3 linked regions of the Arabidopsis thaliana genome follow. The protein of the gene in region 3 interacts with the protein of the main gene of each other region in a pairwise test. Each region holds a gene or a part of one and is shown on either strand. Other genes may lie near its edges.

The links. Proteins that work in one complex are often made in the same cells at the same time.
Region 1: the proteins of UEV1D-4 (region 3) and AT5G38895 interact in a two-hybrid assay, tested with the Arabidopsis thaliana proteins (one large-scale study listed by BioGRID).
Region 2: the proteins of UEV1D-4 (region 3) and AT5G41350 interact in a two-hybrid assay, tested with the Arabidopsis thaliana proteins (one large-scale study listed by BioGRID).

What each region holds. Positions count from the first base shown.
Region 1 is NC_003076.8:15,569,348-15,573,823, reverse strand, and holds AT5G38895 (RING/U-box superfamily protein), read right to left. Parts: upstream 2,571-4,476; 5' UTR 2,550-2,570; coding exon 2,520-2,549; exon of another isoform or gene 2,504-2,519; coding exon of another isoform or gene 2,496-2,503; intron 2,370-2,495; coding exon 2,188-2,369; intron 1,888-2,187; coding exon of another isoform or gene 1,871-1,887; coding exon 1,621-1,870; intron 1,541-1,620; coding exon 1,138-1,540; intron 880-1,137; coding exon 770-879; intron 542-769; coding exon 509-541; downstream 1-508. Other genes in the region: AT5G38900 (Thioredoxin superfamily protein), read left to right, coding at 2-79; AT5G38890 (Nucleic acid-binding, OB-fold-like protein), read right to left, coding at 2,926-3,017, 3,287-3,368, 3,599-3,683, 3,768-3,856, 3,954-4,028, 4,165-4,317.
Region 2 is NC_003076.8:16,540,954-16,546,040, forward strand, and holds AT5G41350 (RING/U-box superfamily protein), read right to left. Parts: upstream 3,020-5,087; 5' UTR 2,436-3,019; coding exon 2,433-2,435; intron 2,259-2,432; exon of another isoform or gene 2,212-2,258; coding exon 2,071-2,211; intron 1,901-2,070; coding exon 1,471-1,900; intron 1,362-1,470; coding exon 1,252-1,361; intron 1,103-1,251; coding exon 1,073-1,102; 3' UTR 509-1,072; downstream 1-508. Other genes in the region: XPB2 (homolog of Xeroderma pigmentosum complementation group B 2), read left to right, coding at 3,621-3,630, 3,730-3,773, 3,861-3,933, 4,014-4,182, 4,265-4,487, 4,590-4,646, 4,954-5,087.
Region 3 is NC_003074.8:19,493,855-19,498,369, forward strand, and holds UEV1D-4 (ubiquitin E2 variant 1D-4), read right to left. Parts: upstream 2,242-4,515; 5' UTR 2,101-2,241; coding exon 2,067-2,100; exon of another isoform or gene 2,044-2,066; intron 1,555-2,043; coding exon 1,415-1,554; coding exon of another isoform or gene 1,412-1,414; intron 1,229-1,411; coding exon 1,049-1,228; intron 965-1,048; coding exon 824-964; 3' UTR 523-823; downstream 1-522. Other genes in the region: AT3G52561 (uncharacterized protein), read right to left, coding at 3,334-3,633. UniProt on the Arabidopsis thaliana protein: Has no ubiquitin ligase activity on its own. The heterodimer with UBC catalyzes the synthesis of non-canonical poly-ubiquitin chains that are linked through 'Lys-63'. This type of poly-ubiquitination does not lead to protein degradation by the proteasome.

The DNA of each region.
Region 1 (4,476 bases), on a different chromosome or scaffold from region 3:
GATCAATGGGAAGGTGAAGCTGAGTGGTGCGCAACCGCCCGAGACATTCCAGAGTGCGTTTAAAGCGGCCTCGGCTTGAAACACAATCAGTGTACTCAAGAGTTGTTGAAGTTTTACATCTATGGAGATTCTCTGTTTCTGTTGTTTGAGCTTTAAGTTATTGACTTTTCAAAGAAGTTGGTGTAATAAGATTTTTCTTTATTGGTTTGTCTAATAATTCAGAGAAGTTGATTTCAAGCACTCTTCTTCTTCTTGCTCTGATCTCAAAACAATGTTCTAGATAACAATTTTTTGAATGATTCAAACTACTTTTCCTTCCAATCATTGTCTTGCTTTATAAATGTATATAAGATATATGAGTCTATAAATTAAGAGACATCACATATTTACTGTTAAAAGGCATCTGGATATTCACAGGAGTTTTATGTACAAGTGATTTCTCTCTGTTTATTCTTTTGAGCAGGACTCAGACGCCATTATGTTCTTTGAGCAAGTCTTTATTACAATGCTAAGAAGTTTCATTTTCATCAAATGCCATCACCTGAAAGATTAGAGTGAAACAATTAGGTATGGATGCATTAACTCCAAAAAGTTAACTCATCTCATGGTTCTCTATATGACCAATAATTGTATGAGAAATGGACCACTACTTAAAATGGGGATATCAAATTCTAATACAAAATGATGCACTTTTAATATCGATGAAGGAGATTGATGGAACATTCGACCAAATCCGGGTTTTAAAGTTTTGTAGAAAGCGACGAGTTACCTTTCCACAGACGGGGCAAGTTTCACTTCTCTCCATCCATTCATAAATACAGCTAAGGTGGAAATGGTGAGAACACTTGGTGATTATCTTCGGATTCTCCAAAGTGTAATCTGCATATTGTTAAAACAAAGAACTATGAAACCAATATTACCTTAATGCACTCGCAACGATTGCCTCATCTACGTAAACTATACTATTAATGGCCTAATGGCTCAGGACTCAGGAGTGCACTAAATGAAGAAATGAAACCAAGAAAGCAACTTATAAAGATCTACTAACAACCTAACACACTCTTTACCAACAAAACTGCATATAATAGGTTCAAAGAGAATAATAACAATAGCATCAAACTAATTTTTTAGTATTACCATCAAGGCAGGTTGGACAAATATCTTCATCATCCGAATCTGCATAATAAACTTCTATCCCCGGCATTGTTTTCGACTTTGTAAAGGTTGATGAACCTTTCGTATACACTTCTTTCGAACCATCTTCAGAATCAGACTTACTCCACTTGGCTCCACCATCACCCAAAGCTTCAGAACTCATTTCAGTATCACCTCTTAACGGTTCTGATTCTTCACCTGAATGACTAGAGCCCTTAACAAAACGAAAGTACCTAGGATCAGCATCGTAAGGCAATGGTGTTGGAGGAGAATGATATACACTAGACAGAGAGTCATCAAGTGCAGTTGTTGAATTCATCACTGTAGCTGTCTCTACAGTTGAAGGTATTGGATGCATTCCCCCTCTACTAAACAACGAAGCATACTGCCCAAAAAAAATCGAACATAAAGTTTTAACTACAAAGAAACAAAAGATTCGAAGACGAAAGTGAAGAAGAACATTACCAAATCCATGAAACTCTGGAGGAAGCAATTAAGGCAAGGACAGTTCCTAGTTATGGAAGTGTTTGGATTCACATAACTCTCAAAGAGATCAACTTGAAAGCAACAACAGAAAGCACCCATATCTTCGAAATCAATACTTTCAAATTTCACAGAGAATGAGAGAGGAAAGCCAATTTCACAGAAGATTTTCACTAGCTCCCGTAAACCAGAATCCTTCCTCTCTCTTCTTGGTGCAAAACTCTTGTTCCTCCTACACAGTAGAATCACCTGTAAGAGAAACATATAACATTTCTAAAACCAAATGAATAACTAAACTTGAATAAGCTAATACACATCACAAAACTATACAATTCGAGCAAAAAAAAACAGTTTTTTTAAGGATTCATTGTTTAATGTACGAGCAAAAGCATCAACCTTTCAGATAAAAAGCATCAATCCGATGAAACCCAAAAACCATCATAAGCTCATCGATCAACATCAGATGATCAGTAATGAATGGTATCAAAATCCAATGATCATCAAAGAAACTTTCAAAGGAAAACAAAAAACAGAGGAATCGATGAGTACCTTTGTGATAGAGACCTGAGAAAATCCAGAAGCAAGAGAAAACCCAGGAATTTTCCGGTATTGACTAATTCTAAAATTGAAGATTTTTCAGGTTCGTCGAAAAAGTGCAAAATGAAGTTTCCTGAATAATAGCGATCCTTTCTCTCTCGTCTTTGTCTTCTTCTACCTTTTGATCCATAAGCCTTTTTGGTCGAAATTTAACCAGGGAAAAACAGAAAGTTTCGTAAATAGTCCCTTTAATTTTACATATATTTAGTTATGACCCCAAACGTTTCGATTATAAAGCTTAAACTTATTCTAATTGTGACCCATACATTTTTGTATACAAAAACCATTTCTTTTCTCGGCAGCACCAAGGGCATACAGATTTACATCTCTTAGGAAGTTTGTTTCTTGATTTTCTGCTAAGTTTTTATACTACCAACTCACCAAGAAATTGCGACAATCGAATGAATTTTTAAGTTGTTCCGAGCTAAGCCTAGCATTTCCACATTGTTGGAGTTATGGATTTATGTTCAAATTCTAACAACAAAATGTCTTTCGAGTTTAAGAAGTTGTAAGTATCCTAATAATAATAGTATCCTGACTATTGTCGAATAAAGGTCAAGTTGGTCTAAAGTTATCTCTACACTTGATAACAAACAACAGAAGAGCTCAAAATTGTAATAATCTCAAATGTCTGTCTTGCTGCAGAGACCACACCTCATTATGTGAGAGAAGCCAAGTGTTGTCTTGAATTCAATTACCCACCTTGGCAACTTTTCTCTGCTCGGTTTGGCCCGACAAGGGGCACTGCATCTCTGTCCAACTTATCGGAACCATTGTTTCGCCTGCACAATCACCAGACCACATAAACATTTCGATTACTCAAACGGAAATTAACTTCGTATAGTATTATAAACTGCCCAAAGAAGCAAATGCATCTACACATTAACATACTCCAAGTCCAGGACGAAAATATTTGTTACTCATAATTCCATAATGAGAACTACAAGTTAGAAATGTATTACAATTTGATATGTGATAGATTAGCTATATAATTAGTAATCTTTGCCCTCATTACCCTTTATTTAGTTTCTAAGAGTAGGAAAAAAATTACCCGCAGCACTTTCAGCTGAGACCACACCAAGTTCATTCTTAGCAGTTGACAAGTAGTAAGCCCGTGCATCACCAAGAGACAGCTTTAAGAGTCCAAGTTAAGGCAACTTCAGATATTATCACCCAAAACATCATCTATTATTATAGACTACACCTACGCTACATTCAAATTAAACTATACAAAGAGATATGTAAGTAAAAAGAGAAAATAAATGGCATAATGTAACAAATCTTAGAATTGTCTCTCCTCTAATAAACAATGTTAACCACTGTACTACTAGACAATAAGTGTGAAACATAAGCGCAAGGATACAACCATAGCTCTAACAATGTCACCAGCATGGAAAGACTGATGCATGTCAACTTTGTCAATCTCTGTTGCTCTAACATCTTGTTGCCTATGAAAGAGCAAACACAAGTTAGATCGACACATAAAAGAACAAACCTTGAAAATAAACACCAAAGGAGGATGAGAAATTCACCTAATTACACCAGCAAAATTTTCACGAACGGCTTTTGAACCAACACACAAGATATCAACAGCAGCCATCTTAGTCATAACTTTAGTCACCTATCACGAATAACAGAGAATAGTGAGTGATGAAATTACTCTCTTTTTTTCCAAGTATGAACATCAATGAATCCAATGAAATAAGTGCAGGACTCACTCTTGCTATGACAACAGAACCAGTCTCTGGAATAGGACCATGTGCCTTGTGACCTGTAACTTCCACAATAGCTCTCTGCTTACCATTTTTATCATCCAATAAGTTATATATCCATAACAATCACAAAAACAAGTATAACAATCCAACGATTTCGATTTCGATTACGAATAGATGTGCCAGAAGAATTAATCACTTGGAACAAAGACGAAACCTGATCAATTGATTCGGGAAGAGGAGAAACAATCCGGCAAGTTCCTGTGAGGGAAGCGTAGATGGTGGCGTCGTTGACGTAAGCTCCTTTTCCAGCTTTAAACTCTGTCGCTTTCCCGATTACATCTCCCGGCGTTACTAGCCCCGTCGTCATTGTTTCAAAATTTTCCGATTTGAGAGTATCAAACAAAACCCTAGGAAGGAACCTCTGGGTTTTAGATTGAGAAAATTAAAACAATTCGGAATCCATCCCTTTAGTGTTATATAAATTCAACTTTGACCCTAAATGTTCTGGTTGTAATTTTAAACTATT
Region 2 (5,087 bases), on a different chromosome or scaffold from region 3:
TGTTTATCTGATTTTATTATTTTTAAAGTTTTCAATTTTGTTAAATTTAATTTTTCATTTAAACCAATGGCGTGACAAAAAAACCTCTATTTTATACTGTTTTACACAGTAATGGTCACTCAAAACGCTTTTCTGGCGCGTTGAAGTTGTTGGTCGACAAAAATAGTTGGATGGTCATGCCCGATTACAGTCTAAAAACATGAATCTGTATAAGTATTTAACTAGAAAAAACAAATTAGACAGGAAATTTTTTAAAAAATAAAAATATTTGTCCAATATACCATTAGCATGATTCACTATAATTAGCAACTATTCATCTGTCACTTACTCACTTGTGACAAATATTATTTATTAAACAAAGCAATGACTAATATTGCATCTACATGTAACAATATCATTTACTAGATAAGTCTCATTTAATTTGACGTACTCATGTAAGTAAGATGTACGACAATACGACATCACATATTCAACTAATGAGACAACTAAACAAACCAAGTTTCGAAAATGTGAAGAACTAAGAAATCTAAAACATAAACACTACAAACTAGTAAGTATAAACAATTTTCATATTACATATCACAGAACAACATAAAGAAAATAAATAAGCACTAAACCAAACTAAAATCGAACCGTAATAAACCCAATCCATACATAACAAACTCTCAATTTCAGTTTGATTAATATTTTTCTTAAACTCAAGAAAAAACTGAATCAAACCCAAATTGAAACCCCAGCTTTAAAACACTCCTAAAATAACCTATAAACAAGAATTACCAAAATTAAAACATCTAGAAGAAAAATTATCAGTTTTGTCTCGTTTTTTATTCACAGAAGTGAATCTAAAGCACAAACTCTAATTCTTAATCTCCGTTTTTTTGTAGACGATTTGAAACGTCTGTACACAAACATATGTATATCAACACTGACATGTTTCGTAAATCCAACTTTGTGATCAGCTATTAGTGTATTCTTACCCATTTTTTCTTTTTAAGTTTTTCTCTTGTTCTCCAATTTCTTTCTTCTGATACAGAGAGAATTGAGCCTTCTAAGATGCGGCATTTGCGGGTTGCTAGTCAAGAGTAGAGTCAAATACCATTTCCTGCAGAACAAACGGATCCTCTCAGACATATCCCGGGAATTAAAATGAATTTGTAAACAAGCTAAATTGGAACTACTCATTATTTACGGTTTACTTAGAGATTAGAGTTTTTCGACATACACCAAAGAGAAGTGAATAAAAGAATGTACCTTGTTGCAGACGGGGCAGGTTTCACTTCTCTCCATCCATTCTAGAATGCATGCAAGGTGAAAATGGTGATCACATTTGGCTACAAGTTTCGGGTTCTCGATATCATATTCTGAATCAAAAGCACAGACAATATAATAAATAACCCATTCTCGCAGTCATGTAAGGTACGATTATGTTTATATGTTTTTGAGATGTGGGAAAGGCAAACAAGCTTTTACCTTCCAAACATATGGGACAATCCTCCTCTTCCTCTATTGGTATAAAAACAGCTTTTGATAGCTTCGGGTCTATTTCTTCAGTAGATTCAAGATCAATCTCTGTTTGGATTTTGCTATCTGTCTCTTTATGTGAGCATGTAGTTGGAACCCCGAGAGTAATACCATCAACTGTTTCTTGAGCAGACTCGGTATTAGCAGAGTCCACCGAAACCTCTCTTATATCAACACAAGTAGCCTCTTCACCACTAGCTGGTGTTTGAGGAATCCCTATAGGCACATCGAAAGGGGTAGGCAGTGGCGGTGGTATATAAGCATCAGGAGATGATGTCTCTAAGTTTGTGTCTACTACTACAACACCAGTAGAGATTGCAGAGGAAGTCCTGTTATGAGCGGAAGATAAAGGCACACGCTCTTCTGTTGCCCTTGGGTACTGCAAAATACAAGTCATAAAACAAGTTATATTCCCATATGAATCTCGAAGCCCGTTGGGGCTTTTAACTCATTTAGTGTCCTGAAGCACATCAAGATTGATTTATTTGCAGCCTATCAAAGCAAGGACACCCAAAAAAAACGAGGAAGTGGGAGAAGTATCAGACTAACGTAGTAGTACGCAGGTCCATTATCTACATCAGCTCTTCGTGAAGAAGAACAACAACAGCAACCTCCCATCTCTTCTTCTCTTTTTTTTTTTTTCTGTTTTACAAAAACTACAAAACCCGAAGACTCTTCATCTATGCTAACCTACAAGATATGTGAAGAAACAAATTACATTCTGAGATCAGTAGGAGAATATTTATCATCTATATGCAAGAAACTCAAACAAGCTTTATCGTTTTCGATATCAGTTTGAGCTGTCTACTAAAGTCTGATCAGACTCATCATGCTAGTAGCAACAATAAAACAATTCAGCTACTAACAGTTCAAATTCACTCTCAATAATCAAAGATACAATAAACATCAACCATTAAAATCGAGACAACAGTGTTGCGACTACAAGCCTATGTGAATCTCCTACAATTCTCATTCTCTTTAGCACCATCTACACACAATTGCAATAAATTCAAATCAGTTTTACACTAAACCCCAAAAACTTAAAACAATTCTACTCAGAATTTAACTCCAACACAAACAATGAATCCACAAAAAGAACCAAAGCTCCATTAAGAGCAAGCTAATCCGTAAAACCCTAAACCGAAACTTATAAAAGCAACAATAAACATCAGAATTCTCAGAATCTAGCATAAACACATAGGAGAAATACGGATCAAAACAGTAAAAAAAAAACCCACAGAATTTCACACAAAAATCAAGCTCAAAACCTAAAGAAAAGCGATCACTAGCAAGAACAAACACCAAAGAAGAACCGATCATCTTCTCGAGATTGAATCAGAGAAGAGGAATTAAAAATCTCAAAATCATAGAGAGAATTTTACTTTTTGTTCTTGGGGGAAGCTTTTTTTGTTTTGTCTTCGTCTTTCTCTGCTTCTGTGCTTTTTGCGGTGCTGTGTTTATCGTGCGCTCTATCAAAATGACTTTCCTAAGAAATTACAAAGACTCTTTTTGGGCTCAATATTATATTTACTTACCTGATTTATTAAATTCATTAATACAATTATTAATTAGCTGATTAATTATTTTATTTTTTCCGTTACAATGTATTTTTCAAAATTTCAATAATGAAATTACATAACTGAAAATCGGCTGAAAAGTGTCGACCAAAAAATTATAAATTGGGAAGTACCATTTTCAGTAAAATTATTACTATTTTTTTTCCGGCAAATAATTTATCGATGTTTAAAAAAGAAACATGGGCTCAAACTTAAGAATAAAGCCCATTTAAAGAATCCTATTAAAAGCCCATATTTGATCTGTTACTGCAGCCTTTATATATGAATCGTGTTCTTACGTTTCTGCTTAACAATTTCCTTCCTCCGCTTCAAACGAGTCACCGACTCGACACAGGAATCCGAATTCGCCGGAGACGCAGCTTGCTTCGTTGAATAGCTTACAACGGGAAATTACCACGAAGACGGTTGTATATTCCCTCCGTCGTACAATTTAGGTTATGTGCGAATTCACAAATTGAAAATACAAGAGAAACAATCCCTAAAATCGATTTGATTAAGAGGAGCGAAAAGAAGAAAATCAATATGGGAAACGGTAATGGTCTCGAATCTCGATCGTACTGAGTTTTGATTCGTTTATTGAATTATCCGGTGAAAAGAGTATGCTAATACTGGGGAAAATGTTGATGTTTAGATGAAAGAAAACGACCTACAAAGAAGATGAAGTACGGTGGGAAGGTTCGTGTTGATTCTTCTCCACATGACTTTTTTTATTTATTAGGCTCTTCACTTCTAGTTAGTGTAATTGTACTGTAAAAATCTCAGGATGATCAAAAGATGAAGAACATACAAAACGTTGAAGATTACTATGATGATGCTGATGAGGATTCTCGTGATGGTAATATTGATTACTCTCGTATAATTAACATAGATACATTGGGAACAAAATTGAAATAGAATTTATAATGGTTTTTAAAGGTGAAGGAGAGGAGAAGAGGAGAGATTTTACTGATTTGGAGTTGAAGCCGGATCATGGAAATAGGCCTTTGTGGGCTTGTGCTGATGGAAAGATTTTCTTGGAGACATTTTCTCCTCTCTATAAACAAGCTTATGACTTTCTTATCGCCATTGCTGAACCCGTTTGCAGGTTTGATTTTGATTTGATTATTATATCAATGTACAAGTTATGATTTTTGTTGTTGATTTTCATTCATTTGTTACTATTTCAGGCCTGAGTCAATGCACGAGTATAATTTAACCCCACACTCGTTGTATGCTGCTGTTTCCGTTGGTCTTGAGACAGAAACTATCATCTCTGTTTTGAATAAGCTATCTAAGACCAAGCTACCCGGGGAGATCATTGATTTCATCCATGCTTCTACTGCTAATTATGGGAAAGTGAAGTTGGTATTGAAGAAAAATCGGTATTTTATTGAATCACCATTCCCGGAGGTAAGTTCACCAGACTGATCCTCTTTCTCTAGTTATGCGTATGGGATTTTTGTGTAGTTTCTCTGTTGGTTTTGCTCACTCGTTAAATATAAACAATCTTAGGTGTTGAAAAGGCTTCTCAGTGATGATGTCATAAATCGAGCAAGATTTACTTCTGAGGTATGTTGAACTCCTCAATTTAGTGCTTTATGTTTACTATTACTGGATGGAAATACATACCATGATCTGTTGTTCTCAACAGTTTTTGCATCTTTTGATACCAATGCGGCAGAGAGATCTATCCTGATTCTCTTGGGGCTATTGGTTTCGTGTTTAAATTCTAATTTTTTCTTGAACTATTTAATAGATAAATAAACTCATTATCCTTCTTTTTAAACTCCTTGGTTCATTGAATGTGAAATTGATATCTCTTATACCATTGTATTCTCCACAGTATGTTGAACCAACTTATTAACTTTTTTTCTAGCCATATTATGGTGGTGATGGATTTACGATCGGCAAAACAAGTGGTGAACTTGAAGCAGGACCTGGGGAGTTGTTGAATGAAGCAGAATTGGCAGCAGCAGCAGAAGAGAAAGAAACTCACTCATTTGAGATAGA
Region 3 (4,515 bases):
TTTGGGCTTGAAATCTGATGAAACATAAATTAATTGAGCTTCTGAGCAATGTGTAAATGTGTTATAGGTTTAATTACGTTCAACCACTTTTTTCATTTATTTAATAAGTTGATTTTCCAAGACCACTCGTAATCAACTTTCATGGAGTCCGTTTATGGTTAAGACCACTCGTAATCAACTTACAAGCAAGTTAAACAGTGTCCTAAAAGTAGAAGTCTACATGTCGAAGAATGATTGTTTCTATGTCAAGAACGACGACGCGGAACATCAAGAAGTACATGCAAATCGACGTGCATCATCATCAATAAGAAGTGTGCTAATTGTAGAAAAAAGTAACACTTAGTTTTCAAAGGTTCTATTAATCACCGTAAGCATTGGCTTTAGATGAATCACAGAAACAAAAATAAGGGTTACGAAGCTGTTCATGGCTTCTTTTTCCATTAGTTCGGATTACAAAGATTCATGATTTTTTATGATACTTTCTTGTTTTAACCTTGGTGTATTACATAACAAATAACCAATTAAATATAGCAGATTTCATTTATATATAAAAAAAGGGCTGACACAAAATGTTAAATTCAAAAGATTGAACACATGGAGTGAGGAAGAGAAGCTGTTTTTGATATTTGCACACAATGATAAAACTTCAGATGATCAATCGGACAACATCATCATCATCACCATACCATCCACACAGACCATTTTTTGATGAATTAAAAAAAAAAAAGCGTTGAGAACGACAATGGAGGACCCCCAGATACATACTTTGGTATTAGAAGGGGCAATGATTTTCTAGCAAACCAGAAGAAGATTCCAGAAGTAACTAGAAGCAAGTACCTTCCGGAGGTTGAACAAGCTTACGGTTATGCGACGTAGACATTTCCTTCTTCAACTGTACCAGTATATCCTCCATTGTGTACTCTCTTTGCCAGTTTGCAAGTAGCCCAAATTTCTTAGGATCCACCTATACACATACGCATAAAAAAATTACAGAGCATCCAAAGAAACAAAACAGAGAAAGGAAGGGCGGTGGTGAGTTTATACGTACCACTCCTGTTTCGTGGTTGACACAAGCCATGTTGACACGTGAATGGAATCGGACAGTTGGAGGTTTCTCCGGGTAATCTTTGTCACAAAAGAGCTTCAACTGATAGATTCTACCTTCATGAACAGTCTGTGACATAAAATTTATCTCTGTTACTACAAGCAAAAGCAACAATGGCATAATCTGCTCAAATAAAGCTTAAGAGATTGTATGTCGATAAGATCAATGCCTAGAAAACAATGTGGTTTTGATGTTCTGTATTCCAAGCAATGAGATGCAAATAATATTAATCTATGCTTCTCAAAACAATTGTTAACATATATGAAGACGAAGGAGAATGTTAGCAGATAAAGAAAAAGATATAACTACGTTGTGAGGACCGATGATGGTGCCAGTCCAAGAACGCATATAGATGTCATCTCCATCATCCATTCCATAGCTCACAGTTCCATCCCCAATACCTTTCTCCCCACGTTCAAGCTCCTCCAACAACCGAAAATTCCTCGGAACTATATTGCAATAACAAGCGTAACAAAAACAATTCATATCAGTAAATGAAAACAAGCAATCACTTTTTTTAATCAAAGCAGAGAACAGAACATATCATATTAATCATTATCCACAAAGACTAAAATAAGATAACACTCAACAAAGTTAACAATGAGCTATAGAGAAGATGAAAACATTCCTAGCTAAGGTCTTAGAAACAATAAGAAACTCAGGAATAGCATTTTAAACCCATCTCAGGAATTGAGACATCAGCAAATCATTCTCAGCGATTTGTTAAAATTGATTGATTCAGATCAAGCTATATGCGAACAATTTAGACAAAGCTACAATTTTTTATACTAGATCGATAGAACCTATGAGAAATCTCAACACCTATTGATCAAAACGAATAAAACCAAAAGAAGAATTCACCAAAACCCTAGAGAAAAAAAAACAAACGAGGGATTATTCCAAAACCCTAGAATCAAAATCAAAAAACGAGAACAAACCCGAAAGAATCGAAATTTTATACCAACAACGCTAGATCCTCCTGAGCCAAGAGTCATAATTGATGAAGTTGTGGTTTCGATATCCGATTGATTTTGAGATCTGACGAGCAGAGAAGAGAGACGAGAAGAAGTAAAGGGAGAATCGAATAGAGAGAATCTGGTGAATAGACAGAAAGCTAAAATGGGAGGGTCAAATTTGGCAAATCGGGTACTTTTGGGGAGACTGGAAAAAGTTATTTTTTTCAAATTTACCGCCCAAATTTGTTTTTCTATCATATAATTCCTTAAATTATGATAACTACAGAAACACCCCTTTTATTTTCGAGTTTTGACAACATCTATTTGTTATTATTTTAACTAGCAATGCAAAATTTCTATATACATGAAAATTATTGAAATATTAAAACTCGCTTGATTTGCAACTAAATTATCGTAAAATGTAAATTTCTTTTTCAAAAATCATGTTAAAACTTTAGGATAAAATGTTGTCACGTATATATGTCGTCGCATGTGCCTTAATATATATGAAAAACAGAAATTAATTATTTATTAGATTTTTGAAAATTTAGTACTTATAAATAGAAAAATGTCATAAAATACATTAAAACAAATTTTAGTTGCTACTTTTTCACTAAATTTAGGTTTAAAAATATTTTCTTAAATAATTTAATATTTGAAGTTTGTAAAAGTTCTTAAATTTTATTGAATTTGATGGTGAATTGTTTTGAATAAATAACGTTTTAATTGATGAAGATACAACTTTTAACCTTAATTATTGAAAATTTCATCGGATTGAATGCCGATGAAACCAAAGCAATACCATTATTAGCATACTACCAATTTGATTCTTAAGACCCTAATTCGAGACGTGTCGATTTTTTTACTTGTGTTTAAATTTATATTTTGTAATTTTTAAAAATAAACTTTCTATTTTTTTTGGCGTTTTTCATTTACATTGAAAAACTATGTTTCTCTGGAGTATACAAATAAATAAATATAAACGCAAACGCCATAACTAGCGTTTGAAACAATCGAATTCAACTCCGATGAAAATCCATCCTCGTTCATGTCATTGGCTTCCATAGTACTAAAACATGAAAATGGACAACTTAACAAAATGAACCAAGAGGGACGGCCACAAACAGAAATGATCTGTCTGTCAATTTAACATATTAAAATAGAGATTATAATTTAAACAATATGATTTATATAGAGGACTTTACAAAGAAAATTAAATTCATCATCTCAAACTCAAAAGTCCAAATTGAATAATAACTTAAAACAAATTCTCTAAAAGAAGATCAAGTCGGTGCATTTGCACTTGGGGCAACGTTGACGTTCTTGTAAGACCATAACATACATCATACAACTTCGACATCCCATCACCACCATCTCCGGCGCCTCTTCTTCATCAACCCACGACGATGCAACCTCCTCCTTCACTTCCTCCGTCCTCGTCAGGCACGAGTTTTGTGATGATGATGTGTCGCTCGATGGTGATCTTCCTTCAAACCTCCCATTAGCAACCACCGACGCCACGGTCCTCGCCGAGGGCTCAACGCTACCTCTTTTACCATTCTTGTTTCTCATTTCGATACTTCGGTTTCGTCGAGAGGGTTTTTGTATTCTTGTATTTGTTTTTCTCTGTGTTTTTCTAGGGGATGGGTTGATGGTAATGACTTCTAAAGAAAATGTATGTATGTAATATATAAGGAAGAAGAGGAGCTAAAATATGACTAGGAATTAATATTTGTTGAATAAAGTAATTATGTTGTGGAGAGAGATATGACTTTGTTTATTTCGTAATAATTTTTTTAATTGGAGGTGGGAAAGTTAGTAAAAGTATAGTAGAGACAAATATATGAAACAAAAGACAATTCAGTAAACAATGCATTAGTGCATTTAAACCAGTGCAGCAAACTATTTATTGCTAAATGTAAAGGGGAAGACTTAAATCTTACAATTTAAAAGAAGAATTTATGATTTTTTATTGGTAATCTAAATTTTAAGTAATATGTCATCCATTTGATTTGTTAATGTAACGTTAAATTATATTTCAAGAAAATAACAGTTTTACAAATACTACGATTTGTGTTTGAAAGAATTTAAACTTAGGGTTTAAAGAATAAAGAAGAAACTGAATTTGTCATCCATTTCACAATAGTTTTAATCTTATGACTTCACTTTTTTGTTTCATAAATTTGTCGTTTTGTATATTTAATGTATATTTTAAAGAAACTTATAGTTTATTTATATGGCGTATTTTATCAATTAGACTTTGTTTGTTTGATTCATTTATTAGTTAATACTACTCAATGTTTTATCTATTAAATTGTTTGTCACAGTAAGACTATTATTCAACTGATTTCTTGAATGAAAATATGTCTAAAATAACTTTAGTGACACCAATACATATTTTTCTCATAAATGTTTTTACTATTCTCTCTGTTTCATTATAAATTTTGTTTTATA